4 linked regions of the Pelodiscus sinensis genome follow. The protein of the gene in region 1 purifies or fractionates together with the protein of each later gene. This does not show direct contact. Links are inferred from orthologs where the notes say so. Each region holds a gene or a part of one and is shown in the gene's direction. Other genes may lie near its edges.

Evidence for each region.
Region 2: the proteins of DIS3L (region 1) and EXOSC6 purify together in Homo sapiens (affinity purification with mass spectrometry; 3 studies listed by BioGRID and IntAct, with this or other methods). This does not show direct contact. The link is inferred for Pelodiscus sinensis from reciprocal best matches to the Homo sapiens genes DIS3L and EXOSC6.
Region 3: the proteins of DIS3L (region 1) and EXOSC7 purify together in Homo sapiens (affinity purification with mass spectrometry; 3 studies listed by BioGRID and IntAct, counting the BioPlex papers as one, with this or other methods). This does not show direct contact. The link is inferred for Pelodiscus sinensis from reciprocal best matches to the Homo sapiens genes DIS3L and EXOSC7.
Region 4: the proteins of DIS3L (region 1) and GIGYF2 purify together in Homo sapiens (affinity purification with mass spectrometry; 3 studies listed by BioGRID and IntAct, with this or other methods). This does not show direct contact. The link is inferred for Pelodiscus sinensis from reciprocal best matches to the Homo sapiens genes DIS3L and GIGYF2.

Annotation. Positions count from the first base shown.
Region 1 is NC_134724.1:4,766,529-4,774,012, reverse strand, and holds the start of DIS3L (DIS3-like exonuclease 1), read left to right. Parts: upstream 1-4,474; 5' UTR 4,475-4,514; coding exon 4,515-4,644; intron 4,645-7,484. UniProt on the Homo sapiens protein: Catalytic component of the RNA exosome complex which has 3'->5' exoribonuclease activity and participates in a multitude of cellular RNA processing and degradation events.
Region 2 is NC_134722.1:48,825,763-48,833,040, forward strand, and holds EXOSC6 (exosome complex component MTR3), read left to right. Parts: upstream 1-4,271; 5' UTR 4,272-4,318; coding exon 4,319-5,188; 3' UTR 5,189-6,904; downstream 6,905-7,278. Other genes in the region: AARS1 (alanine--tRNA ligase, cytoplasmic), read left to right, coding at 1,292-1,405, 2,132-2,317. UniProt on the Homo sapiens protein: Non-catalytic component of the RNA exosome complex which has 3'->5' exoribonuclease activity and participates in a multitude of cellular RNA processing and degradation events.
Region 3 is NC_134712.1:178,144,957-178,152,028, forward strand, and holds the start of EXOSC7 (exosome complex component RRP42), read left to right. Parts: upstream 1-4,072; 5' UTR 4,073-4,317; coding exon 4,318-4,374; intron 4,375-4,772; exon of another isoform or gene 4,773-4,787; coding exon of another isoform or gene 4,788-4,796; intron 4,797-7,072. UniProt on the Homo sapiens protein: Non-catalytic component of the RNA exosome complex which has 3'->5' exoribonuclease activity and participates in a multitude of cellular RNA processing and degradation events.
Region 4 is NC_134720.1:4,777,558-4,785,499, forward strand, and holds the start of GIGYF2 (GRB10-interacting GYF protein 2), read left to right. Parts: upstream 1-4,939; 5' UTR 4,940-5,066; intron 5,067-7,942. Other genes in the region: uncharacterized protein LOC102449525, read right to left, coding at 2,718-2,763. UniProt on the Homo sapiens protein: Key component of the 4EHP-GYF2 complex, a multiprotein complex that acts as a repressor of translation initiation. In the 4EHP-GYF2 complex, acts as a factor that bridges EIF4E2 to ZFP36/TTP, linking translation repression with mRNA decay.

The DNA of each region.
Region 1 (7,484 bases):
GCTGGCTTGCATCAGTAATATTAAGCTCCATTATCTCAGTATTAGTTTGAAGCTTTACATAGCATGATTTGATTGCTTGAGCTAAGAAGAGAACTGCAGAGCTTCAGATTCTGATCCTGTAAACACTTACCTGGTGACACAGTCTTTTTCATGTGAGTGTCCCCTTGACTTCAAACTTTGAGCCATACTACTCACCAACATGCTTGCAGAATCAACTCCTGAGCCTTTGAGGGCAGGGTGGGAAACAGTATGATATTTTCTTCTTTAGTTTCAATGCACATCTCTGAGCCTTCAAGGAAAACTCTTCTCATCTAATTTGTACAGCAAATGACAACGGAAAAGGGTTCAATGGAGGTCAACTACCACTCATTTAATTTCTCATTTTAGGAGGCTAAGAAGGAATTCATCAGTTTCACCTAGGAATTTCAGCTTGAGATTTTGAAAGAGAGGGCAAAAAAGTCATCCTTGCAGTTCTATTTTCTGTTTACTGCACTTTATAAATAAATATCCCTTACAGGGAAAAGTTCTACAGTAAATGACTCCAAACTTGGACTATCCCAATTTGGTGAGGATGCACTGGGTGACCTAACAGGTCTTTTCCATCTGACATCTATTATTCTGTGAAATTTATCAACTATAATGGGGTTACTACAGGGTATGAGGCTCATGTAAGCATCATTTCACTGTAAAAGTTTTAAGCTCACACCCCTATTCAGATCAAATACATCTTGATAGTTTTGCCTGATTAAAGGCTACATAATTGGGCCAAAAATAACCAAATTATTTCCACTATGTTTACGTTTGTTTTATTAGATCTTATGAAAAGCTACAGCTAATATCCTCCAATCTAAAATCACCTGTGAATGATGCTTCTCCTTACCTTTATATCAGCTAAAGTTTAGTAGTTTTGATGACAGAATAAACATGGCCATTGCTTTTTAAATCAGTATTTGACTTTTTAATACGCATAATACATCAGTTAATACAAGAATAAAACATTGGAATGAGCTAAAGATGTATAATATTACGGGAAACAACAGAGTGTACAACTTTTTGATTTAATGATGTAGAACATGCTTCAAAATTTCATCTGTAGATGAAAGGGAAGAGGGAATCATGGAATTAATATACCAAAAATGAGGAATTATAGTAAATACATTGCTTTTATGCTTCCAATAATTACAAACATCTAGGCATGTAGCAGCATGAGGGGTTATTATTGTATTAGAAAGCAGCCTTTAGTTACTAGTTTGTTAGTTTCTTTTGGAGTAGAAATTGCTTGGTGTTGTTACAAGCAACTATCAGCACTTTGATCACAACACCTGAAAGGCTGAATTTTAAACAGAGGACACACTGGTATTCTCATCCAAAATCAATGAAATGGTGTCTCCCAGTGGCAATAAACGGAAACTGCACCCTGAAAACTAAGATGCAGGCTCATGGCAGAGGGGAGATCATCCTGCTGAGAAAATGGGAAGCACAGCAATGCATAATCACAAAATAATTTCCCTTTTTTTCAAAAAGAAAAAAGTCCGAAGACACTTCTTTCTACAGCTGTGCAAAATATTCAAGTCAGGTATACAATGGACCTAAAATCAATCTTGGTTTGAGCTCAAGCTATGATTGCAAGCCAGCTCTGCTTTGTTAGAATTTTTGGCGTGCACGACTGTGAACTACCCACAGAAGTTTTCTGCAAATGTTTTATTACCGTATCTGGGTATTTGTAAGCTCTTTGATGCTATTCATCATGGGATTAGAGCTGACTTCCTGGGTGCTCTGGGGCTGGAGCACCCACTGGGAAAAAGTAGCGGGTGCAGAGCACCCATTGGCACCAAGCTGTGCACTCTGCGCCACTCATGCGCTGGTAGCCCCACACTTAACCAACTTCTCTCCCTCCCTCCCAGTGCTTCTAGAGTGCTACAAACAGCTGATTGGCGGGATGCTGACATTCCAGGAGGGAGATGAAGAAGCAGGGAGGCACGCGCTGTACTTGGGGGATGTGAGGAAAGATGAGCTGGTGTATGGGCTTGGGGGAAAGGGTGGAGTATGGGGGGGGGGGAGCTGGTGAAGAGCAGTGGCCGGGCACCCCCTCGGCAAGAATAGAAGTCAGAACCTATGTAACATGGTATATTTTGCCATGGCAGCGGCATTTGAGAAAGGTCACGTAGTGGTTCTCTCTTGGCGTCTGTTTGGCTCAGCTTCTTCCAACTTAACAGGAGCATCCTCTCACCACAGGTCATTTTCAGGTGCTTTTTCAGGAACATAGGTTGAATTTCAGCTGAGTTCCCTGATTTAGTTGGAGAACTCAGGAAATAAATGCATTTTCCTCCTAGGTTTTTGAGTATGTCTGACTAAAGGCCTAGTATATGATTACTTTCTTTCATTTCCTGAGTTTCTCACACCTGATTATTGTTTTATATTCTGAGGGTCACATCATGTTTTATCGTGTTATCATCGGAAACTTCCTCCAAACGAAGGAGAGTGAGAAACAACAGAGCAAAAAAACTACAATTAGCACTGACTCAGATTTAGGAGTTTAGCAGTAGAGTCTGGTAGTAGTGAATAAGCATTTGGGTATATCATCCACTGGAAGTTTTATAGAGGATTAGCCATGGAAACCACATATATTAATGGGTGGAGATTCTCTCTCATTCTGTCAGTATCTGGGGTAGGCTCTCTGTAGGAAGCAATGGCATAGCCAGAAAGGACCACTTGGGTGGGCCCTGACTTTGGGAGGGTGGGCAATGATGGAGGCAGTAAGCCCCCACACTCTAGCCCTGCTCCCTAGCCAGACCGCTGACAGCAAGGGGTCAGCTCCAGCTCCACTCCCCAGCTAGACTGCTGGGTGGCAGGGCACCGATGGAACGGTGACAGCCCTGGCCCCACTCCCTGGCTGCTCCCCAGGCTGGAGCGTGGGTCAAAGGGGAGCCCGCACCTCTTGGCCCCACTCTCTGGAATGCTGGGCGCAGCAGGGTGAGCCCCGGCTACCCAGTCAGAGCACTGGGTGCAGCAGGGTCATCCCCCACATCCAACCAGCATGGTTGCGTGGGCCTGGATTAAAAGCAGGTGGACTAGGCCTACCCAGGCCCACCCGTGACTATGCCACAGGTAGGAAGGTACTGCCTGACATGGAAGAATTTGGGCTACTTCCTAGACTGCATCCCTTGTCGGTGGTCCTGCTTATGCCTCTCAGTACTGTCAATGTCAAGTGATGTGCTCCATGTAAATGTCCTTTGACCACCTGTTGATGTCGGAAACTACAAGCGGCCACGTCAGCTGAGCAAAGCGTCAACCGACTCCATATGTAGTCCACACTGGCTCCTTGTTGGGATCCTAAGCACCCAGATAGAGAACATATCAAGTATTAAACTGATAACAACAGATTTAATTATTTGTTAGGAAAGCTAATGTTTGACATGAAAATGGGCATGGTACACAGGTTAAGCGAAACGTATGTGTATATTGGAGTTCAGGGCTTATCGGGATCCTGTGAATCCCTCCAGCGGTAATCTTCATGCATGGGAATTTACACTAAACATGGGCATTGTCCACTGAAGTAGAAAGCTCCTTCCTGGAGAGACTACCTGTTCTAGGTCAGCTGACCCCAGCTTGATTTTGAATGAGGGAAAAAAGCCTGATCCCCTGACCTTTAACTATCAGACACTTTCTGGCTATTATTGACAAAGGCTGAAAGCTTGATGTCTCCTGTAACCCAGGATCTCCCTCCCCTGCCAGCACCATCTCTGCTCTCCTCACCACTGGCCCTTCCCCCATACCATCCCTGCCCCCCTCTGAGCCAGCCTCTTCTTCCCTCAGCACCATCCAGGCCCCCTCCTTGCTACCCCCTCTCCCTCCCACATCCTGCCCCCCGCCTCGCCATCCCCCTGCCCCAGCTCCATCTCTGTCCCCTCCTCGCCATTCTCCTCCCCCCAGCTCCATCTCTGTCCCCTCCTCGCCATTCCCCTCCCCCCAGCTCCATCCGTACCCCCTCCTCGCCATTCCCCTCCCCCCAGCTCCATCCCTGCCCCCTCCTCGCCATTCCCCTCCCCCAGCGCCATCCCTGCCCCCTCCTCGCCATTCCCCTCCCCCCAGCTCCATCCCTACCCCCTCCTCGCCATTCCCCTCCCCCCAGCGCCATCCCTACCCCCTCCTCGCCATTCCCCTCCCCCCAGCGCCATCCCTGCCCCCTCCTCGCCATTCCCCTCCCCCCAGCTCCATCCCTACCCCCTCCTCGCCATTCCCCTCCCCCCAGCGCCATCCCTACCCCCTCCTCGCCATTCCCCTCCCCCCAGCGCCATCCCTGCCCCCTCCTCGCCATGCCCCTCCCCCCAGCGCCATCCCTACCCCCTCCTCGCCATTCCCCTCCCCCCAGCTCCATCCCTGCCCCCTCCTCGCCATGCCCCTCCCCCAGCGGCCCCGCCGCTCCCGCCCGCCCCCGAGGCAGGCCCCGCCCTTCCGGCGTAGCGCGCTGGCGCCGCCTCCCGCCATTCCCGCCGGGCCCGGGCGCGCGGCCGATGCAGCGCACGGAGAAGGTGCTGCAGCTGCGGGGCCTGGCGGGCCGCTCGGTGCGCGTGGTGCGCGAGCACTACCTGCGCCCCGACGTGCCCTGCCGCAGCGCCCTGTGCCGGGCCGCCTGCCCCCGCGGTGAGCCGGGCGCGGGGGCACGGGGGGCGCCAGGGGCAGGAGCGGCTGGGGCGTGGGCGGGGCGATCCTTAGGGGGCAGGGAGCCGGGCCCCTGCTTGAAACTGCTGCCCCTAAGACCGGGGGGGGGGGGTAGTTTTAGAGCAAGACCAGCGGGGGGGGGCAGTTTTAGAGCAAGACCAGCGGGGGGGGGGGCAGTTTTAGAGCAAGACCAGCGGGGGGGGGGGCAGTTTTAGTGCAGGACCAGCGGGGGGGGGGGGGGGGTAGTTTTAGAGCAAGACCAGCGGGGGGGGGGGGTAGTTTTAGAGCTGGGATTTTGTCCTCTTCTGCCCACCCCCATGGAATATTTCGCCCAGCAAATGTTAAACGCGGGTCCTGTCGATTCCCCCCGGGCACATTCATGACCCAGCGCCAGGCCCTGTGGGGTGCGTCTGCCCTGCCCGGTGACTCGAGATAAGAGGCGCCGTGGGAGCGAAGCACATTGCGTGTCTTGTATCGTCGCCGCGCCGAGTTCCGAAATAAAGCCCCGTGGTGACCCGTCCCGTACGCCTTGTAGAAGGAGGTTTACAGGGATGTCGGGAGAGCGAGCCTGTAATAATGGGCTTGCTGTGAAGACATGAGATGTGTCCAGAAATAGCGTTGCAGTGTAGACGTACCCTTAGGCTGTGTCTAGATTAGCAAGTTTTTCTGCAAAAGCAACTGCTTTTGCGGAAAAACTTGCCAGCTGTCTACACTGGCCGTTTGAATTTCTGCAAGAACACTGACGATCTCGTGTAAGAAATCAGTGCTTCTTGCGGAAATACTATGCTGCTCCTGTTCGGGCAAAAGTCCTTTTGCGCAAAAGCTTTTGCGCAAAAGGGCAGTGTAGACAGCTCAGATTGTTTTGCGCAAAAAAGCCCCAATCGCAAAAATGGCAATCGGGGCTTTTTTGCAGAAAAGCGTTTCTGGATTGGCACGGATGCTTTTCCACAAAAAGTGCTTTTGTGGAAAAGCATCCATGCCAATCTAGATGCTCTTTTCCGCAAATGCTTTTAACAGAAAACTTTTCCGTTAAAAGCATTTGCGGAAAATCATGCCAGTCTAGACGTAGCCTTAGAGAATAACACAAATATGGAGAGACTCACAAAAACAACAAATAGTCTAACAGCACTTTAAAGACTAACAAAACATGTAGATGGTATCACAATCTTTTGTGGGTACAGCCCTCTGAGACTGTAAATTCAGAAACTGACGGTATATACTGGGGTTGGCAAATGCCTGTTATACGGGTTTCCTTACCATTTGGAAGGCCTACAGGATGCATCCACTTAGATGGTTCACAGGTTCAATCTTCTGCTAACAGCCTTGACAGGCTTTGTCACTTGTAAGTTAACTAGATCATTTCCAGAGGAAGCAGACCCTACAGAACAAAACAGATTCAGTAATAGAGAAGAGGGGGAGTACCAAACCAGCCAGTAGCACAACGAAATGTCCTTGCAGAATAGAAACCTGCACAAGTAAATGAAGATGCAATTCTGAAGAAGAACAGAAGGGAATTGAAAGGGGAAGGCTAGCTATAGGACTACCTATAACAGTGCAGTAGCTATGGGCTATAGCAGGGGTGGGAGCCTTTTTTGGGTTATGGGCCATGGACCCACAGAAAAATCAGTCAGGGGCTACACACAAGTGAGAAGCAAAATCCCTCTCTGACATGGCCCTTGACCGAGAAGGAGAAAGATACTCTCCACTTTCCTTTCCCACACCATAGCCTAGAGGGGCCCAGCCTAGTAGATTTTGTGTTCTGCAGCCCCACAACAGGGTAGTGGGGAGGCTGAAGCACTGGTGTGTGCTCCCCAGTGCTGGGGGAGGGCCCTGAGCCTCGCGGTCTGGATCCAGGCGAGCCAGGGGCCACATCCAGCCCCTGGGCCTGAGATTCTTATGTCTTTGCCCCCATTTTAAGGACATTTTTAAACTCAATTTTCTTTTCTAATTGGAATTAAATGATATTGATGTATATTAAAATATTCAACATGGCTAAAAAATTTACACTGAAACTTCTGCCTTTTTATAAAAACAACAAGGGATCTGGTAGCACCATAAAGAGACTCCTCATTCATTTTGCAGATGTAGAGTAACACAGCTACCCCTATGATTCTTGCCATTTTGTGCCATCAGTAACTTTTTAGGTAATTAAATTTAATTATCCATATTGTATTTGCTGGTCTTAGACATTGGAAGACTGCCAGTTTCTGTGATTGCTGGATTTGATGATGTTTTGTGTAGTGCACTACCATGTTGTACATAATAGGTTATTCTGAGGTAGCCTTTTTGAGTGTTTTGGTTGTTATAAGTACAATGGACTTTTCTGATACATGTACATAGTATATTAGATAATCAACATAGCAGAGATCAATTTCAAGTCAATTTCAAATGTATTAACTCTTAGTTCAGCTGCTCATCCTTAATAAAAAAACTTTTAAATTTTTAGTTTAAATTTTTAACTATTATTTAGAACAAAAACTTTCTGATTTATTTTTGGGGAAGAGGGTTGCGAAGGCATGTGTGATTGTGGCTCAACTGTTAGTGCAGCCTGTTGTTGTCTAGGATGTTAGACAAGAGGGCTGCGTCTAGACTGGCATGATTTCGTGCAAATACTTTTAACGGAAAAGTTTTTCCGTTAAAAGTATTTGCGCAAGACATCTTTTGCGCAAAAGCATCCGTGCCAGTGTAGACGCTCTCTTGTGCAAGAAAGCTCCGATGGCCATTTCAGCCATCGGGCTTTCTTGCGCAAGAAATTAACTTGCCTGTCTACACTGGCCCTCTTGCACAAGAATACTTGCGCAAGAGGGCTTATCCCAGAGCGG
Region 2 (7,278 bases), on another chromosome or scaffold:
CAGCTCCACTTCCAGTCTGGCTGAGGATGGGGATCCCTTGAACTTCCGTCTCTGGCCCCAGGAAGTCTAAGCAGTTCTGGTGACCCCATGGAAGTGGGGGCCTGACCCAGTTTGAGAACCACTGCTCTAGAATTCTCTTTTGGGGCCATTACTGCAGTCTGCACAAATGCTGCATCTGCGTTCTAGCTCCAGAGTCCAGGTGCTTTTCTCTGTGGGGTGCTGCTGGAGGTGTCCCGGGGATTGTGCATCCGCACAGCCTGTCCTGGGAGTTGTGTAACTGCACCAGTTCTTTCTCTGAACGAGGGCGCTCCATCTCTTTTTGGGAAGATTATGTGCCTGGTGCTTAGGGACTTCTTCCCAGTCAGTGAAGCCTCTCCACCTTCACCTTTCTTGCAGCCCATTTCTGTTCACTGGACAGGGCCTTGAGAGGCTATCTAGTCCAATACCCTGCACTCATGGCAGGACTGAGCATTACCTAGATCATCCCTGACAGGTTTGTATCTAACTTGCTCTTAAATATCTCCAAGGATGGAGATTCCACAACCTCCCTGGGCAATTTATTCCAGTGTTTAACCACCCTGACAGGTAGGAAGTTTTTCCTAATGTCCAACCTAAACCTCCCTTGCTGCAGTTTAAGCCCATTGCTTCTTGTCCTGACCTCAGGTTAAGGAGAACCATTTTTCTACAGTCTTTGCAACACTTTTTTATTTATTTGAAAACTGTTATCAGGTCCTCTGTCTTCTCTTCTCCAGACTAAACAAGCCTATTTGTTCAGTCTTGCCTCATAGTTGGTTTCTAGATTTTTAATATACATATATTTTTTTTGCTCTGGACTTTCTCCAGTATATCCATGTTTCCTGAAATGTACCTAGAACTGGACCCACTACTCCAGTTGAGACCTAATCAGCTCATAGTAGAGCAGAATTACGTCTTGTGTTTTGCTTATAAAACTCCTGGTGATACATCCCAGAATATTGCTTTTTTCCAACACTGTTGACTCATATTTAGCTTGTGATCTACTGTGATCCCTAGATCCCTTTCTGCAGCACTCCTTCCTGGGCAGTCATTTCCCATTCTGTGTGTGTGAAATGATTGTTCCTTCCTAAGTGGAGCACTTCTCTCCTTATTTAATTTCATCCTGTTGATTTTAGATCATTTCACCAATTTATGCAGCTCGTACCTTCAGGGCCACTGGGGACTGTCCTGGCTGTGGCTGCAGAGGGATCTGAGAGCCTGCAATGTGGTGTCAGGAGCTGGTTCTTGCCATGACTCGGTGTGCATGTCTCCACAGGCCCTGAATGAATCTCTGAAGCTGTTCAAGGCTTACTCCCCTCAGACTGCGGCCATGCTCTTCTCTGTGGATAGCGAAGCTGGGAAGATCACTTGCTTATGCCAAGTACCTCAGGTAGTACTGTGTGTGTGCCCTTCCTTGTGCCGCCCTGCAGCCATTCAGATGGAGTGTCAGACTGGTGGGGGGGGCGTACTTCAGGATTCTTGCACCCCTCATGCACAGGGAAGTCCACCTTCCAGCCTCTTCCCTATCTGCATCTCCCCTCCCCCCGCCCCTTTCCAGTAGCAGTAGCCCTGCTCCTGACCCTGGCTCCTGGGGATGGGGTGTGGAGACAGGGATAGAAACATGAAATGAGCAGCTTCCACTGAGGAGGGGCTCTGAAGAAGCATTACTCTGTGTTTCTTCTGATTCCTGTTCTGTCTCTGACTGCCCCTTCAGCCTTACACCACATGTCCAATGGCATATGCCTCTGGTGGGGTCGGTGGGTTTTGTTCGGTTACTGCTGCGAGTGCAGGGCTTGGCCTTGACTTTTGTAGCTCTGATTTTGAAAACAAATAATGTTTGAGAGGTGAATCATGGAGTACACAAGACAAATCAGACTCCTGAAAGGGGGTGCGATCACAGAAGACCCTTTGAGGCTATTGCTGTCACAATAGGCAGTGATCTTGAAAGATTGAGAGCCACTGATTCAAACCCACTCACCTGCCTGGAAAAGACGTTTCCTTCCTTCCCTCCCTCCCTGGCATTGTCAGCCACAGCACAGAGCCTGGAAATCCTGCCTTCCCCAGCAGTCACTCCAAACCTGCTGTCTTTAAAAGAATCTGAATTCTTGCTTTCCAGGAGCTAGCCACCAAGGGCCTGAAGGCAAACCAGTGGGTGCAGGAGGTGACGGGTCTGATGGATGGCAAAGGCGGTGGGAAAGATGTATCTGCCCAAGCTACAGGAAAGAATGTTGACTGCCTAGAGGAGGCTCTGAAACTGGCCACAGACTTTGCCAAGCTCCACCTTGGTGAGCTGAAGAATTGACCTAGTGCCCCTGCACTGACTCTCAGCACATCAAGGAATGCCCTCAACTCTCCTCAGCCTGGCCGATAGGTTACAGTGTAGTGGGGCTTGTGAAGATGGATTCTGCTCCTCATTCCTTCTGAATCCATTTGCTTGAGGCATTAGCAGACTAAAAGCAGAATCAACAGCTTGTGTCCTAATCCAGCTCTGATGAGGTCTCCCGGTAGCCTGTGTTGAATCATGTCACTTTCATCCTCTCTATGTCTGTTCCTTGTCTAAAGTCAAGCTGACAGTACTGACCTACTTCCCAGGCTACTGTGAGGATTAACTAGCTAATGGTGTAAAGTCTGCAGAGCACAGTCCAAGGTGCTAATTGTTAGCAAATACTGTCACACTTCTACAATAAATTAACATGCATCAAAGCCAAGAGTCTGTGTGTACCACCTTCACCCCTGTGTTACTACACTGGAAGCATGAGCTGCAATGAGGCTGGGTGTCGAAGGTGGGGATCCAACCTGCTAGAGTATTTTGAACCTCACCACTGTTACCAGCTGTTGATAATACAGGAAGTTTGCAGAGGAGTGACTGGTACCACATTCTCTGTAATTCTCTGAAGTGCCAGCCTTGGGATGGTCAGAGGTGACAGGGCTGAGCTACTCTGCATGGGAGCAAAAGCCAGAGACAAGGCAGGTGGGAGCACTGGCCTGCACTGACCTATGGCCCACAGCTACTGCAAGGGTGCCTGCTGTCAGTGGGGGCTTCACACACCCTACCTCAGGGAGTGCCCAGTAACCTTGAATCTCCAGGGAGGCTGTAGGAACACTGTCAGCCTCATGCTTCCTCAGCTGGGGGGTCACTGTTCCCACTCAGGAGCCTCTCCTAGCCCCATGTGAGCCTCCTCCCCCTCCATTACCACTCAAGCCCCCCTTGTCAACTAGGGTTGTCAGGTGTCCAGATCTTGACTGGAACACCCAGCTGAAAGGAACCATCCTGGCACCACTCAGTGCTGCTGACCAGCCATTAAAAGTCTATGCAGTGGGGCTAATGCCTTGACTCTGTGTGGCTCCCAGAAGCAACACTTTGTTCCCCACTTTGGCATCTACATTTAAGGGCAGCCAGGGCCCTTCACACCAGTGGGGAGATGGCTCTGCTTGTGGGAGCTACTTGCGGTAAATGCTGGCAGGAACCTGATCTCCCTGCTGCCCTACATCCTACCCAGAGCAGCCTTCTGCAACCCAAATCCCTCACCCCTACCCTATCCCAGTCTGCATCCCCAGCCACAGCCCTAGCCTGGTGAAAATGAGTGAGCATGTGAGGGAGAATAGGGAGAGTGAGCAACAGGAAGGGGGCATGAAGTGAGTGGAGAGCAGGGAGGGAGGCGAGGGTGTTTGGCTTTAAGTAGAGTTAGCGATAGGATGGGGCTTCTCCCTACTGCCAGCCCCTGAATAGCCCTGCCCACCATTATCACTGGGCCCCCTTGCTAATCTCCTCCCCTGCTGCTGGCCCCCTCACTAGCCCCCTGCCCTCCCCACCTTGCCATTATCTGCCCCTTTGCTAACTCCCCTCTCTCCTGCCACCCTTCCCTGCTGGAAAAACTTGAAAAACAAGGACTAATCTGATAGCACCTCAGAGACTAACCAAGTGTGGATGGCGGGGTGAGCTTTCCCAGCTCCAGCTGAACCTGCGCCCCGCTGTGCCCGGCTCATGAGCCCAGCTCCGCTGTGTTAGTCTGTAAAGTGCTGCCAGACCACTCCTTGTTTTTCCCTCCCCTGCTCTGTTGGCCCCACCCCCTCGCTAACCACGCCCCCTGCTGTTACCGTTGGCCCTGCCCTCTCGCTAACCCCGCCCCCTGCTGTTACCGTTGGCCCTGCCCTCTCGCTAACCCCGCCCCCTGCTGTTACCGTTGGCCCTGCCCTCTCGCTAACCCCGCCCCCTGCTGTTACCGTTGGCCCTGCCCTCTCGCTAACCCCGCCCCCTGCTGTTACCGTTGGCCCCGCCCCCTCGCCGCTTCCCAGCCCCGCCATGCCGCTGGACCCGCGGCGCGTGCCGGGCCCCGAGGAGTCGCAGCCGCCGCTGCTGTACGCGGCGCCGGGCCAGGCGGCGGCGGCCGATGAGGCGGAGGCGGAGGCGGGGGCGCTGCGGCCGCTGCTGGCGCGCGCCGGGCTGCTGAGCCAGGCCGAGGGCTCGGCCTACGTGGAGCTGGCCGGCGGCACCAAGGTGCTGTGCGCCGTGCGTGGGCCGCGCGAGGCCGCCGAGGGCCGCGGCCGCCTGCTCTGCGACTTCCGCCGCGCGCCCTTCTGCGCCCGCGGCGCGCGCCCGCGCCCCGGCCCCGCCGCCGCCGCCCGCGAGCGCGAGCTGGGCCTGGCGCTGCAGGAGGCGCTGGCGCCGGCCGTGCGCCTGGCCCGCTACCCGCGCGCGCGCCTCGAGCTCACCGCGCTGCTGCTGCAGGACGGCGGCGCGGGCCTGGCCGCCGCGCTCTGCGCCGCCGCGCTGGCGCTGGCCGACGCGGGCGTGGAGATGTTCGACCTGGTGGTGGGCTGCGGCCTGTGCCGCGCGCCCGGGCCCGCCGCCGCCTGGCGCCTGCAGCCCAGCGCGGCCCAGGAGCGCGCGGCCGCCGCCCGCCTCACCGTGGCGCTGCTGCCGGGCCTGGGCCAGGTGGCGGGGCTGCTGGGCAGCGGCCAGGGCGGCCCGCCCGAGAGCTGGGCCCAGGCCGTGCGCCTCGGCGTGGAGGGCTGCCAGCGCCTCTACCCGCTGCTGCGCCGCAGCCTGCTGCGCGCCGCCGAGCGCCGGGCCGGGCTCCCGCGGGGCCTGCCGCCCCCCGAGCGGGACCCCCCGGACCGGCCTCCTCCCCCTGAGGGGCCCGCCCGGCCCCCTCCCCCTGACCGGCCCTGAGGGGCCCGCCCGGCCTCCTCCCCCGCCCGCCCGGACCGGCCCTAAGGGGCCCGCCCGGCCTCCCCGGCCCGCCCGCCAGGCTCCTTTCCCTGAAGCGCCCCCGAGGGCCCCCAACAGGCGCCAGCTGCTCACCCCTTTCCAATCACGGCCCCCTCCCAGTTCGCTGAGCCTGTAATGCAGACTATGGGCCAGCCCCCCCTTCCGGGAGTTAATGAAGGTCTCAGTGGCACAGCCCTCCCACCAGTACATCTGTGATGAGATCAGGCCCCCTTTGGTGCTGGGCAGCAGCCCCTCCAAACTAGCTCAAGACCTGGCCCATCGCCAGTGTGGGGAGCAGCGCGGCAACCTCACCCCCCTGCGACTGGACTGCTAAGGGGCCTGATCCACGGAGTAGCCACTTTCTGGAAAGCCCCACGAGGAGGCAGTGTGACCAGAGCCCCAGACATTGCTCCACCTTGCAAGGGATATGAGTTGAATGGGGCCTCTCTACCAAGGAGGAACATATCATGGACTTTTGCACCCAGAGGGAAATTCACCAGCACCATGGCAAAATTGTGAACATTTCAACCGATATCGGGACTGAAAGCAAAGCCAGAATCTGGAGACTGAACATATGCAGGAGATCTCCTTGTGGCTTTTCTTCTCTATGCTGGCACCAGGTGGGGTGAGCTGGAGATGTCTTGTAGAAGAGACTTTACAGATGCAAGTCAGCACTGCAGAACTGACAAACTGTGGCAAACCTTTTAGGGCAAGTCCTTCCCATCCAATGGCAGCTACCATCCACCATAGAACTGTTTAAGTGGCTTTTTAAGTATAATAGAAATGGGGTTTGTACTTTATGGTTAACACAATTCAGCAGATGAGAGGTAAACTGTTTTGCAGGTGATTGGCTGCATGCAACAATGTGAGGCAGTTGAATCTTTCCATTGGTAGGATTAGACTGCCTTGATTTGTTGGTGTGCACAAATGTATTTGGTATGTGCTTCAGGGGGACGTGGGAAAACCCTCCCCCTCCTGCCTGAGATTTTAAATTGTTTCTATTGACTCCCACCTGATTCCTACGAAATGGCAAGAAATACTGTTGACCAGCAAGCAGTCTGTTTTATTAGATGGTTTAAAATGTTTCTCAGTGATTTTTTTTTTTTGGTGACATGTTGATTATATCTTAATTCTCCCCCAGAAAATCACGACTGCATTTTTCCTGGTTTTCAGTTCACTTTCCCTAAAAATTGAGAGATCTGCTAGTGTAATTATTTTGATTTAATCGGGACCTTCCATTTCCTCTTTGGTTGCTGCTCTGCTTAGCATGGGTTCTTTATTGCATGTCAGTGTTTAATTTCCAAAGAGGCCAGTTAACGCAAATTCTCAATACAATGGACAGGTACCAATGCAGTTTTTTTCTTTCTCTGGGGTTAATGTAAATGTTATTACTTGACTACAACAGGAGAAATTGATAGAGAGCCTTTATCCTGAATCTGCTGTAATGTGTAACTCACCCAGCCCCTGGTTTGTATTGATTTGGAGGATGGGTTCCCAACAGAAGTGATGATGGAAAGGTTTGGTTGTATACTTTGGTGACTAAAATCTGAGCACCAGTCAGAAACCACTGCCCAGTGAACTCTAGTTAATATATAAGACCCATTTGTAACTCTCCACCAAAGAGAATTGATTGACTGGAGAACATTTTTATATTACAATAAATTTTCTTACTGGGAAGTTCATGTTTTCTTGGCTTTGATCTATGTGGGTCCTCTGCTCTGTAATGGGCCCTTTGATTAGAAAACTCTCCAAGTGAAATCCGTGATGTCCCCAGATGTCCTGAAGACTAAAACTCCATACTAGCAGGGCTAGCTTTCTCTTACTGCCCACTCTCCAGCTCTGAGTTCCCCTATTGTGAAGAGGATAGCTTTGTGCATAACAGCTCTACTCCTATGTAAAGGGGCCAGTTATGTAAATCTTTGCTTTGAAACTGGACTGAAGGCAACAGTTTCATCATAATGACTGAACAGCAAGCACATGATAATAACTGGGCTGGATTTGAGTCTTATCCTAGAGGGGAAGGCATTACAGCTGTTAGTGTTGTTCCAGAG
Region 3 (7,072 bases), on another chromosome or scaffold:
TGGGTACTAGATGCAAGATTCTCAACTGGAGTCTGATTTTCAAATGTGCCGAACACACTCAAACACAGATGCTGATTTCCCCCGGGTCCTGAACCTACTCCATCCCTTTCCCCAAGCTTACACCACCTCTGTCCCGCCTCTTCCCACCCCAAAGAGTTGGCGCTTATTCGCACAACTGCAGCTGAAGTAGATGAGAGCTATGCTTTGAACAAATGAAATACTATATATAAGGATGTTAAAATGCTATTATCTGGCTAAACAATTTGTATTGACTATATGATTAGTCGATAAGCGCTGCTCTGCAGAGCTGCAGTGAGGGTAGCTCCAGGGCTGGCCCACAACATTTTGGCACCCAAAGTGGGGAGCTCAAATGACACCCCCATGCCGCCTTGCTTGGGCCAAAACTTTGAAAGGTTTCAATTCTGCCCTCTTCCTGTTCTACTCCTCTGCAGAGAAAATACACATGCACCAGCAGCAGACACAATTTTCTACACTCTGGGTCCTAGTGGTGACCCCCCCCCCCCCTCAGTCTGGCACCTGGGTAGCTCCAGGAGCCCACTTGAGCCGGGACAGAGCAGTCCTGGCTCATGCTGGCTCCAGAGCCAACCGCACTGTGGTTCTGCATTATAAATGCAGTAAGAGCTGCTGGGCTTTTATTACATTTAAAATGCAGAGGCACAGTGATCAGTGCGAGATGGGAATGCTTGGTCCCAGCTTGCAATGAGTTTAACAGCCCCTGTTTACAGAAGACAGCCCTGTCTGCCACGGACATGGGCTGGTGCCAGAGCAGCCTGTCTGCGGCGACCAGCCCTGTCCACCGCAAACACAGACTACTCAGACACCAGCCCCTGTTCATGGCAGACAGGGTTGGCAACAGACAGGGGTGGCTGCTGAGCAACCCCTACCCATGGCCCGGCCTGGCCACCCTGAACAGGGGTTGCTTGGTAGCAACAGCCCCTGTCTGTGGGGAGGCCCAGCTCCCCGCTAGGACCCCTGCAGACGGAGGCTGCTTCGTAGCAGTGTTCTTTATCCCGCACTGCTGCCTCTGATAGAGGCAGCGGGGTGAGGGGCAGGCAGCACCCCGGAGACAGTGCTGGGAGAAACAGGCTTTTAAGATGGCTCTCCACTGGCTCCTGTCCCCCTCTTGCTGCCTCTGAGACAGGCTTGATGCCTCTGGGCTGCCGCAGAGAGCACAGGGTGAGTGGGGACTGCTTTTGAAATGTACTAGAGCCCCACAGGACTCTTGTACATTTCAAAAGCAGAAGAGCCCATAGAGGGAACTAGCATAAGCGGGGACTGAAGCAGTCCCCACTTGTGCTGTTTCCTGCTGCACCCCCCGCCAAGATGGTGCAAGGAGGGGGAAGCGACTAGTTGAGTCACTACTCGACTATCTGATAAGCATTTGCTATTCAGATAGTCAACTAGTCACTTACATCCCTAACTATATATTACCATGTACTCAAAAAAAAAAAAATCAAATCCTAGGTATGTTAAATTGAGTAGCAAAATTAGTAGATACTTTTCACTTTAATCTCTCTCAGCTTCAGTTTCACATCTGTAAAATGGTGATATTTATACTATCTCAATCATACATGGATTTTGTGAAAATAAATTCATTCATATTCCTGATTCACTCAATACAGTGCGAAGCATCATACCAAAGCCCATGAGGCAATTAATAATTCTGTCTTTACAGCAGGATTTGATTGGCATGCATTAAATAAGGCACAAGGCCACACATGGAATTATATGGAAAAAACAAAATATTAAAACACTCATTAAAGGGTCCTACCAAATTCACTGCCATGAATTTGGGGCTGGACTCGATGACCTCCTGAGGTGTCTTCCAGCCCTATGCTTTGATGAAAAACTCATCATGAACTGTGAAAGCTAGTCTCCCCTTGTAAAATCTGATCTTTTGAGTTTTTATACCCTATATAATACAGATTTCATGGGGGAAACCAAGTTTCTCAAATTGGGGGTCCTGACCCAAAAGGGAGTTGCAGGGATCATAAGCTTATTTTAGGGGGGTTGCAGTATCCCCCCCTTATTTCTGTGCTGCCTTCAGAACTGGGTGGATGGATTGCAGTGACTGCTGGCCTGATGCCCAGCTTGAAAGCAGCACCCCACCAGCAGAAGTGTAGAAGGGTGGTAATACCATACCATGCCATCCTTATTTCTCTGTTGTTTCCTTCAGAGTGGGGTGGCCAGAGAGTTGCTGACTGAGGATCTAGCTCTACAAGCACCAGTGCAGAAGGGTGGCAATACCATCCTTATTTGCACTGCTGCTACATGCAGCTTGGCCTTCAGAGCTGGGTGACCGGCCAGCAGTCACCATTCTTCAGCTGCTGAGCACCACTGCCAGTACCAGCACCACAGAAGGGTACTAGCAGTACTACAAAAACCCTCTTGCAAAAACCCATTCCTTTTTGGGTCAGGACCCCCACAGTTACAACATTGAAATTTCAGATTTAAATAGTTGAAATAACAAAACCTATGGTTATGGGCGTTGGGTGAAAGGCCAGCTGGGGAAGACAAGCCCGAGCTCTGTCCCCTTCCACTCGAGGTTTCTGGGCCATGTGCAGAGCTGTGACTGTCGTACTGCAGCCCCAGCCCAGCTTTCCTTGGCGGCCGGGGGGAAACTGGGCTGCCGAGTTGCAGCCCCATGCCTCCCCAGTGGAAAGGGGAAGCCGGGCTACCAAGCAGTGGCCCGATGCCTCCCCGGTGGCTGGGGAGAGCCAGGCTGGCAGCCCCAGCCTTAGGCAGTTGGTCTTGTGAGCAATTTTGGGAAGGCTCTGCCTTCCCTTGCCTAAATTACTGACCACCCATGCCTATGGTTTTTTTTTAATCCTGTGACTATGAAATTGACCAAAATCAACAGTACATTTGGTAGTGGTCTACTCGTTAAGTGAGAGAAGTGCCTTTGAGATGATACCTTAGTCACACGATCTGTTGGGGTGGGAGGGAGGGGCTGAGCTCCTTGTGGACAGAAGTTGCTGCCATGGAGCAGCCTCTGTTCACGGTAGGCCTAGGTAAGGCTGCTCTATAGAATGCACAACAACCTATCTGCAGTGGGCCCAAGCTTGCCATGGACAGAAGCTGTTTCATAGAGGGGGGCAGCACAGAGGAGCTGGTGCTGGGAGGAACTGACTTTTAAGCCAACTCCTGTCTGTTCCCCACCCACCCCCGCTGCCTATATAGCAGGCAGTAAGTGGGAGAAGGCAGATCCGCAGGAGCCACTGATATAGAGGCAGCAAGAGTGTGTGTGTGGGGGGGGGAGATGAAATGCGTGTAGACCACAGGATTAACCGATAGCCAGGTTTATCAGTTAATCTTGTAGACATCTACATGATGATGGGGAATAGGGTTGCCAGATGGTTTCAGAAAAAGTACCGTCCCCCCTTTGACAGTTAAGCAAAAATAAAAATAACAGCATGGCCCTCTTAAGAAACATGTGGTAAGGCTTTTTGGCCCTAACAGGCTACCAGCAGCCACCCGCCATCTTGCCTCCCTGCACTGGGCCAGACAACTCCCTGGTAAGCACTATGGTTGCCAGGCTGCCTCCTTATTGAGCTGGACAGCCCGAGATTTTTCGCCTCCTGGCTGGGAAAAAATCAGAAAGTACCGGACATTTTAGGTGTCAGGTATTTTTTGATTTTTTTTATGGGACAGGAGGCGAAAATACCAAACTGTCTGGTTCAATACTGGACCTTGGCAACCCTAATGGGGAGCTACCTTAAAAGCTGGCTCCCAGTATGCAGGGCTCCTGAGGCGCTGACAGCCACACTGCTCTGCTGCCCTGTATGAGTTTGCAGGGCTAGGCAGGTCGTTGGCTCCCTGGAAGTGGGCTGGCAGCCAGCGAGTGACCGTGTAACCGGTTTGACCGGCTACACGGTTACAGTAATAACGGGTTTTGCCATCCCCAATGTGCAGGGCTCTGCATCCAGGCACAATGCGGACCAACAACGCCCTTGCACTAACACGCGCACCCCTCCAGCAGGCCGCCCAGATTAAGAGCTGCGCATGCGCACACGTGGCGCGTCCACCCAGAGCATCCGGCTCTGCCCTCTGCGCGCCTGCTATCCCCACGTGGGAGCAGCTCCCGCGCAGCCCCAGCCCCGCAGTGACTCTGAGTCACCCACACAGGGCGGTGCACGCGCCCGCCCGCAGGCATCGCACGGCGCGCGCGAGCGGTTGACGTAACTCCGTGCGGGTGGAGGGACGGCAGGGAAGCGACGGGGAAGTTAGCGTCGTCGCGTTTTGGTGACGGCATCACCAGGCGGCGGCGGCCGGTGTGTTTGGAACCCGGCGCGCATCATGGCGTCCGTGGTGCTGAGCGAGGCGGAGAAGGTTTACATCGTGCACGGTATCCAGGTAACGGGGGGCGGGGCTGCGCGGGGGGCGGACAGTTGGGTGCCGCCCTGCGGCCGTGGGAAGGGGCGCCCCGGTCTCTGTTCGCCCCCCCCCCCCCCGCTCAGTTCACGGCTCGTCGCTGTCTGAGCCGCGCCGCCCGAAACTCAAACCCGACTGTTGGCTACGTAGATACAATTCCTGTGACGTGTCTGTCGCTCGTGCACTGACTGAGTGTGGGGGAGGGGGAGACGCCCCTGGGCCAAGGGCACCAGCTGGTCCCGGGGCGGCCGAGCGGAGGCCGCGTAGCTGGCTGCGGGGCTGTGCAAGCGGCCGGGTGCAGGGTAGAGATGTAGCCCGGGCTCCTGTTTAACCCTCACCCTTACTGCAGCCCTCTTGATCAGGCGGGGGGGGGGGGGAGAGCCAGCGCATCTGAGATGCTGCCTGTGAGTAGGGCTGTAATAGTGTAGTCGATTAACTGATCAGCAAAAGCTTGTAGGTTAATGCTCCAGACGACAAGCATTTCCCTCCCACCTCCCCTCGCCACTAAATTTCTTAGCAGGGTGGCCAGCAGCCTGGCTCAGTCTCGGCTTGCAACGGGTCTGGGACCTATCCCTGCTGTGGCTCTGCATTTAAATTGTATTAGGAGTTGGGCAGGTAGGCAACCCAGCTCAGTTCTGGCTCATACTGGGTCCGGGAACTCAGACCCTCCCACACAGGGATTGCTACCACTCTGCACTACTGCCTCTTTATCAGACAGCAGTGCAGGACAATAGGCAGCCAGTCCGCAAGGCAAGCTGGTTTTTAAATTGGCTCCCCTCGTGGATCAGCTCCTGCGGCTGCCTCTAAAATAGCAATAGAAACACGGAGTGGCAGGGGGCACTGGCTGCCAGTCCCATCCTTGGGGGCTATAGAATAGTTGACTAGCCTATAAGAATTAATGAGGTTACTCGACTATTAAGTTAATTGATATTTAATATCCCCACCTCTAATAAAGAGGCAGCAGCCTGGGGAGGGAGGCAGGATCAGGTGCTCGTGGAAAGCCAACTTAAGAGCCAGCTCCCGCCTCCTCCATCTGCAAGTATGTAACTGCTGAAATTTTCAGCGGTTACATGTTTACCAAAATAAACACATTTTTGCACCATTAGTGCAGAGCCTCTCCAGAAATGGCAAGTGTGTTTGTCCCTGGGGCCACCTGAGCAGCTGACCTGGAGCCAGCTGCTTGGGGCAGCCTGGAGGTCCACCCAACTGGCCACTGCAGAAACACATTCTTTTGCTACATTTCAAAGGAAGCCCTGCCTCAGCCTTTTAAATGTACAAGAGCCCCAGTGGGGCTCTTGTATATTTGAAAAACAGAATTGCAGCACGAGCAGAGACAGCTTCAGTCTCTGCTCACGCCATTTCCCGCTGTGCCTCTACCTCCCCTGCCCCCCGAGGAGATGGTGCTAAGGGGAACCAGCTTTTAAGCTGGCTCCTAGCACTGGGACCTGCTCCCCCACTTGCCGCCTCTCTCGGATAGAGGCAGCAAGTCAGGGGAAGCGACTAGTCACATCACTAGTCGACTATCTGATAAGCATTACATCTCAATGTATAGACATTCTTTTCTTAACCTGTGTATTATATAATTCTAACATTAGCTTTAATAAAAATGTTAAATCTGAGGACCCAACCGAGATCAGAGCCCCAATATGCTAGGTGCTACCAAAACACAAAGCTCTTTCCTTGAAGAGGTTGCTATGTAAGGTCCTGATTCTGCAATAAGCTGTGGACATAAGGTTCTTGTTTATGCATAAGGAGCTGCATTGAAGCTGATGAGGTCTGCCCACATGGAGCTTATTGCAGGATCAGGGCTTTAATGCACAATACAAACTAAGTGTAGAAAATGAGTAGTATTATGTTCTATCTCCATTTTATAGTTTATGCAGGAAGTCAGTGTCCGAACTGGGAATTAAACCTGTGTAACCCACTCTTTTCTCCCTGGGTTATTCAGGAGCAGGCCACACTCATCTGTGTGCCTGGATGCCTGATGTTTTTAACATTAAAGGAGATCCAGAGTGTCCTAGTGATTATGTTGGATAGTTGGGGATCCCCTATCTATCTTCTTGCTTTTAAAGCAGGCCTGGGCAAAAACCAGCCCTTGGGCTAGATCCAACCTGCTAAGCCATTGGATCTGGCCCGCAGATGCTGCAGGGAGCCCCAGGCAGGCCCCCCACTTGCCTTATCCTATGCGCACATTGCTCAGAAATGCAGCTGTGGGGCGTTTTTTCTTTAAAAACTGAGTCCAGAGGGGAGGGGGGAAAGCTTTTGGAGCTGCTCTCATCCCGGTACAATCCCATTGGCCGGTTTCTGGCCAGAAACTGGCTGGTGGGAGCTGCCTGTTTCAATTACAGGCAGCCACAAAGCACAAGGTGCTCCAGGCTGCAGCCTGTTTGGGGACTGGGCAGGCAGAGAGGCTGATGCAGGAATGGCTGCTGGCTTGTAAGTCTCCTGGCCAGATCCTGCCTCTGGCACCCCAGCCCCTCTTTCTCCAACCCTCTGACCCTCACTCCTGGGCCCTACTCCACATACCCAAATCCTCTGCCCCCCTCCTGTACCCATATCCCCTGCCAGATCCAGCACCCCAATCCCCTGCCCCAGATCACAATCCCCTACTGCCCTAGCTCCCAACCCAAATCCCTGCACCCACTGCTATACCCCAATTCACTGCCCTAGGTCACAATCC
Region 4 (7,942 bases), on another chromosome or scaffold:
CAGAAGTCCTCGGATAACTCTACTAAAATAGATACTAAAATGTATTTTGAATTTTCCAAATAAAATTTAAAAAAAATGCATACCTTAAAAATGTTCCCTTCTTGAAATTTTGCTTGATAAACTCCCCCAAACTAACTAAACTAACTAAAAGCAAGTCCCCACAAACTAGATTTCTCCAGTGTCAGACAGAGGCCTCTTCTGAATTCTCCAAGTAAAATGCAAAGAGATATTCACATGATCTAACTGACTTCTGTCAAGATACGACATTGGAACAACAATGCTACAAGGCACAGCTGCTTCTGCAAGAGAGCTGCAAGTGCCTATTCTGACATCTTGGGTTGGAATTCTTTTTCTTGCTATCCTCCCCTGCACTTTTCTAGCCATTAGTAATAGCAAGCAGCCAAGAGAATGGAAATACAAGTTGTCAGAGACCAGAACCTTACAGTTTTGCTACAGAGGCAGATGCTCCCTCAGAGCAGTTGCATATGATTAGTCCTTCTTTCTAAAGGTACATCTACACTGCAGCATTATTTCAGTAGCCTGAAATAGCTATTCCACATCTTTGAAAGAAGCCTGTTATTTCAAAATATAATGGAGTAGTTATTCTGACATCCCTGTAAACCTTGTTCCATGAGGACTAAGGGACATTTCAGAATAGGGTTTATTTAAGCTAAAGGTGCAGTGTAGACACACCCCAACAAAATAGTCCAATGAAAGATACCACCTCACCCATCCTGTCTCTTCAGTCTCCCAATGGAGCTCATTCTAAATGCTAAGATTTTTCCAAATATATGTAATGTGGTCATAGGCAGCGAGGTCCTTGGGTACCATGGGCCCATATAACAGGAATATTCCTATCTCATCTACACCAAAGGTTAGGGCCGGGTCTCACCCCGGCAATAGATGACTTGTGGCAGCACCCAGGAGGTGCACTGCACCCCCGTGCCTTGTCAAAATTGTAATTGCTAAATGGAGTGCTCTTATACCCCCCTCCCTGTTCCTCTGAGTGGTCCTCCCTACTCCCCATCCCTTGCAGACACCAGTTGTCTATGCTCCGGCCCCTGCGCAATCCCCTCTCCCCCATGTCCCCCCCCAGCCTGCCTGCTGCTCAGGGTGATTTAAAATGACCAGGGGCCTCCACTACCACCACCATCAGCCCAGTGGGGCTAAAGTGGCTTCCAGACACATGCTTGATGCAGCTGCTAGCAATCTTTCCTCACAAATCATGCTTTCTAGAATTTTAATCATTTTTGCTGCGCTCCTTTGGACCTTCTCCAATTGGTACACAACTTTTCTGAAATATGGAGCCCAGAACCGGACACAATACAATACTCCAGTTGCAGCCTTAACAACATGGAGTAGAATGGAAGAATTACTTCTTGTGTCTTGAGTACAATAGTCCTGCTGATACATTCCAGAATTATGGCTTTTTTTGCAACAGTGTTACACTGTTGACTCATATTTACTTTGTGATCCACTATCAACTCCCAGACATGGTCAGTATAGAGGAAAGGGAAGACATTGCTTCCCCTGGATCTTAATGTCCAAACACCTACCTCTTCTTACCCCTAGTCTGATTCTTCCTGCAGGCTCCAACAACAGGGTGTTTCAGCCTGGTGAGTCTGCCCCTAGAGGCAATCTAGTAATTTCAAAGTGAAAAGTCTTACAACTTGCCAGATCTATCAGCATAAGACTGAAACTGTTCAAAGAGCCATTAAGCAATAATGGAGTAATTTAAAAAGCATTTGCCATCCTGGAGGTATATACTGTCAGATTCTGAATGTACTTGACAAAAATAATTTTGCATTCCTGCAATATTTATTCAATCTATTCGGCTACAGGACCTTAGTTTACAATTTGCTTAAAATATTTAGTCAGTTTGTTGCGGCAGTAGATTATAAAACCACACATTTAAAACATCCTTGCATAGATTTTGAGATGCAGAATCTGAGTATTCATCTTTAGCCTTACATACTTGGATCTTCAGACAAACAGTTCTTTAAATTCTTCAAAAGATCTTATTTAAAATACACATTTTAATTACTATAATACAAAAAACTTGCTTCCAAAGTCGTCTTGTTCTTTCTATCTATCTCTGCTGTAATCTTTCTCTTTTCACTCTCTGTTCAAGAGAGTCCTTATAGGGACAACACCTCTTTTCTTCTACATACCTGGTTAAAATGAATTTTCCCTTTTTTTACTTCTGACTATTTGATGAACTACTTTTACGAGAACCCTCCACCAAAATCAGTAAGGTATAAAATCTTGTTATACCTAAAATATTTAGACATATTTTTAACATTAATATAAAATGAAATTTTGTAAATATGTCTATTGTTATGGAGATTACACAAAATAAATTAGTGTTCCCTTTTTCTAAAAGCAATGAATATTGTGATGAACACACTAAATTGCTCTGATTAATTTAAACTTATATTTTTGCTTCAGTGTCTTAAATCTGTAGTAATCTGGAATGATTACTTGTGCAGGCTTAAGAGTAAAATTAAAATATAAAATCAGCTCAGAAATACTGATTAAAAAAAATTAAACAAAGAAGAGCTGCATCATCTATTCCATAATATTTAATGTTATATTCAGCAGGACAGCTGACCTGCCCTTACCACAAAGTTTGTGCAAATAAATCTTTGACAAACTTCAGGGTATATATAAAAAAAACTTGTGACTTTTTTTATTCCCAAATAAATTTAATTAGGTACCTTCTGCAGGTCCAGTCTTCACAATCTGGCATGCAGTGGATAACATGTTCCATTTTCGTTAGAAAGAAATTGTAGAAGAGTGTTTTTTTTTTTCAAATGTCATTTTCTACATTTGGATTCAGGGATTTTGCTTAAAGGGGGTAAGCAGGGCAGGGAAAGAAGAGAACAGTGGGGAGAGGGCAGTGCCTGGGAAGAATGTCTGGAGCCTGCAGTAGAATATGGGCAGGGCCAAAGCCTGGGGAGTTCACCTTCCCAAGAGATAGCTTCATCCAATACCCGTGCCCCCAGAGCTCTTTCCATAGTACTCCTTCCTAGACAGTCATTTCCCATGTATGTGTGTGCAAGTGATTGTTCCTTCCTTAGTGCATTTGTCCTTTTTTAATTTAATTGTTTACTTCAGACAATTTCTCAAATTTGTCCAGATGACTTTTAATTTTAATCCTATCGTCCAAAGTACTTGCAACCCCACTGAGCTTGGTATTGTCTTCAAACTTTAAGTGTACGCTGTATAATTTTAGTCTCAATCATTTATGAAAATATTGAACAGAATCAGACCCAGAACTGATACCTGAAAGACCCCATGTGATAGACCCTTCCAGCTTGACTGTGAACCATAACTATTCTACAGGAATGTTTTTCCAACCAAATATGCATGCACTTTATAGTAACTCCATCTAGGCTTTGTTTCCCTAGTTTGAGATCAAGAGGGACACTAACAAAAGCCTTACTAAAATCAAGATATACAACATCTACCACTCCTCCCCTGCCACATCCCATCCACAAGGCTTGTTTCCTATCAAGCAGAGCCATTAGGTTAATTTGTCATGATTTGTTCTTCAAAAGCAACATTCCTTGATAAGCCATCATCACCTTATTTTCCAGGTGTTTGTAAACTGATTATTTACTCTATTATCTTTCTGTGTTCTTAAATTAAGAGGACTCATCTGTAATTACCCAGATTGTCTTAGTAGATTGCACTATATTTGCCTTCCTCTGCAATCTCTGTTTTGCATGAGTTTTCAAAAATAATACCCAATGTCTCTGATATTTTCTCAGTCAACTCCTTGACTATGTTAAGATTTTTTTCATCAGGTCCTGAACACTGATCAAGATGTCTGCCTCTGTGAGAAAGCAGTGTGAATAACGTGACAGGGTGATTTCTGCATATGAAGTGTGACTACAGTTGCCAACTTTCTAATCACATAGAACCAAACACCTGCCCTGCCCCACCCCGTGTTCTAAGCCTCATCCCACTTTCTCCTGCATCGCTTGTCCTTTCCCCAAATTCAATGGAATGGGCCAGAGGATTGGGTTGTGAGACTGGGTGAAGACTCCAGCTGGGGGTACAGGATGTGGGATGGGGCCAGAAATGAGGGATTCAGGAGGGGGCTGTGTGCTGGAGCAGGGGTGCAGGAAGGATTCTAGTTGGTGTTGCCGACTGTGGAAGTAGGAGGGGGCTCTCGGCTGGGTTTCAGGGGTTTAGAGTGTGGGAGCAGGCTCAGGGCTGGGCCTGCAAGCTCTGGGAGGGGGATCAAGGCACTGGTTCAGCTAGGCTGTACTTACCTTAGGCCAGAGGCACAGAGGCACTAAGACAGACTCCTGCCTGCCCTGGTTCTTTGAGACGCTGGGACAGGGCCAGTATGTCTGGCTCCTCGACAGAAAGTCTGGGGAGGGAGGTTTTCTGGGCACTGCCCCCACAGCTCCCGCTCACAAAGCCTCCCGGCCAATGGGAGGGGCGGAGCTGCTACTGGAGGCCGGGGGAGCGTCCCTGCTGAACACTCCTGGGAGGCCCGGCAGTTCCTTGTCCCACTATGCGGCCCTTTAACGCCCCGCTCAGCACTGCTGACCCGAGCCGCCCGCACCCCTTTTCCAGGCAGGGCTGGCTCCTTGTCAGAGGGCTCTGGATCACCCAGGTCGGGCGGGGTGGGAGAGCTGGGCCCAGAACAGAGGCAGTGGGGAAGTACCAGAGCACTTGGGCTCCCGCCCGGCCCGAGCTGGGTGCATGCGGAGGACTATGGCCCGTGCCTGGCCTGGGCCCTAGGGTAGGATCGGGGCTGGGCGCTGTCCCGACGCAGCGGCCTCGGCCGGCCTCGTGCTCTCTCTCGAGGCCCGGGCCTGGCACTAGGGCGGGGGCTCGCGTCACCCCGCGGCGGCCGTTAGCGTTGCGGAGCTCGCGCTCTGTTCGCGGCGCGCGCGCGCTCTCAACTCGCCGCCGTTCCCATCCGGGGCCTGGGTGGGTAGGTGGCGCCCTATATCACGTGACGATGCGTGGCGGCGCGACCGCCATCTTGTGTTGTTGGGACTGAGGAATTGCTTCGGCTGTGAGAGACTCTCCGTCCGGGATCGCAGGTAATTAACCCCGTTGGCGCCGGCCGGCTCCCCGGGGCGGCCAGGCGGTGCCTGAGCCTTTCTCCTTCCCGTCCGGGACGTGTCAGCCCCGCCGGGGCGGCCCTGCTGCGGGAACGTGCCTAGGCCGCCGTGGAAGCGCCGGTGTCGCCTGCGGTTGCTGCCCGGGGAAAGGTCTTTGCCGTGGGGTACAGAAGCCAAGGAGGCCCGCGGCCTTTGAGCAGCCGAGGTGACTTGGACTTGGCTTATGGGCTATAGGCCTTGCCGGAGCCTCCGTTGTTCGTCTTTCCCCCCGTCGCTTGCGCGGAGACGCAGCCGCCTGCCCCTCTTCCCACTTCCCGGTGGCTCTGACTGGTGGAGGCCCCGTGCAGGCGGCCTTTGGCAGCAGGTCCTGCCGTGGGTTGGGTGAGTGCTGGTGGGCCGGAGCCTGTCAGACACCTGCGGGATTTCTTGGGTCATTCCGGGCCATTTGTGGTCCCTGCTCGTTCCCTTCTTCCCCTAACTCCTGCGAGCGCTCCTCGCCCCCCTCAGCGTCTTGGGCGAGCCTTCGGGCAGGGTCCGTTCGCACTGACGCCTGTCTCCTCTGAGCATGTCTGGCCTTGTCATACTGCAGACACAGGAAGAAAAGAGCTGGTTCAGGGCTGAGGCGTCAGTAGGATCGGTGTTAAGGGGAATAATCATCAGCAGCGTGTGACCCTAAAGGCTGTGGTAGGGCGAAGAGCCCGTAGATCAGGATCAGGTGTGTTTGGTTTTAATCCAAGGCAAGTAGTCTCAGTGTCAACACAACGATTCCAGCACCTACGAGCATGTATAATTGCAGTTTAAATCCAGACAAGTTGGAGGCCAAAGGGGTCAATACTTATTGACGTGGTTGGAGTATTAAAAAAAAAACAACCCATATTCTGATTTGCTTCAGAATGATGGTCTTGGGGGTTTTCTTTTTTGGTTACTTTTGCCATTATTTTACGGTCCATATTTTGTTCTCTGTTTTATTTCTGAATGCTGCTGTTGTACTTTTAATTTAATCATTTTTGGTTTATCAGCCTTTGATTTCTTGCTTCAAGAGCTAGCATGTGTCACTTTCCAAACAAGTGGATTCTTCTGGCATTTGTTGAACTCACCTATTGCTGCCAACTCTCTTAGTAGTAGAGATGGTAGGAGCACTAGTGGCCACTAATTTATCTAAATCTTGTTTAGATCAGAGTTAGTTGATTTTATGGTAATTAGTCTGCACCCTGTCACTACTAACAGTAGGTGCAACAGTAGGTGTTTTTTTTAAAAAAAGCATAGCTATGCTAACTCAGTGAAGTAACTGGTGTCAGAGCACTTGTCACAGAATAGATTCTTTACTGAGCATGGACAAAATGCAAGATTCTGTTTACTGTGTTAAATAGGTCAGAAATAGGGGTACCATCACTTAAGTGATATGTGGCACTGAAAATTTACAGCAGTGATAGCAAGACTTGGCAGCTTCTTGATTCCATTGCTGTCTTAATATCTCTCTTCAGTTCTCTAACAAAGCTGTAAATTATTTGTTAGTGATTTCAGGAGGTGGACAGAGAAGCCTTGTCTGGGCATGTGGAGGTACTTGCACAAAGATTGCATTCTCTGTCATCAGGTTTGCTGCAGAGCCTTTTTTGAACAAATGATTTCAGCTAACAATTGAAATGTAGAATATTTATATTGCTATCTTGGTGTACTATTCTTCCTTTGCAAATACACAGGTTTCTTGATGTTGTAACACATCAGTAAAATAATTTATCAAATACATGAAAAGTTTTTGTAAAGCTCTGGGGCTTTTTTCCTCTATTTTTACTTTGTGAGTCGGTTTCACTATTTCCCACTGTATTGTCAGTCATCTTGCTTTCTGAAAAGACTAACACCAACTGGAGAGTTGAAAAGTCTTCACATTTTAAAGAAAAACTATGTCCCTTCTTCCAGAGATGTATTATCTATAAGGTCTGCCAAGAGACTGATATTTTTTTAAAATTACGAAATAAAACAAATCAAGTTGAATAATGCCTTTCACATTTATGAATGCTTCAAAAGAGGCAAATGAAGTTTTCCATTTGGGATGAACTGTAAAATTGAGAGATGATGAATAGCCCACTTGCACATTATCTGGGTGGCTGGATGTACTTTTTCTGAGTATACAGCTCTGTGAAATTATATTAGTAGCATACTAGAACACTGAAGAAAAAGATAACTTAAGGTACATCTACACTACAAGCATTGCAACAGATCACAAAAGGATATTTCTCTTTTTTAGTAAATCTAGAATCTCAAGAGGCAGTGGCTAGTAGGGATGTAAAAATATGTTTAAAAATGTAACTGTGTAACCACTAAAAATCATAGCATTTACACTTAAATAAGCTATGCTGCAGAGCCTCCAGCACCTGTAACCGCTCTGATTTTTAGTGGTTACATAGTTACATTTTTAAATGCCTGGCCCTGCTCCCAGGGAGCCAGCATATAATCTGATGGGGGAAGGTGGATCTGGCTTGCCAGGGACAGGGGTTGCCTCAGCCCCTACCTGTAACCAGAACCTGTAAGCCTCACCCATTAAGGTGAGGCCTACTGGTTAACCTTTTATATCTTTAGTAGCAACATCAAAAGAAGATTTTTTTTTTTACACCTGTCAATCTACCTACATTTACAGTCGTGGTTAGGTCACCCTCATTATGTTTCAAAGGGTGTGAAGGTTTTTATACAGTTTTGAGAGAGCTAGCTAGATCACTTAAGTTTTAACTGTAGACCGGGTCAGTTAAAAGTGGCCTACAAAGGAGAGTTGGTGGGAGACCCTTGCTGCACATTTTGTTGATTATATTTCTTCTTTACTGTGTTCAGGCCTTCCGTTGTCTTGAAGTTTTCTGCTTGTG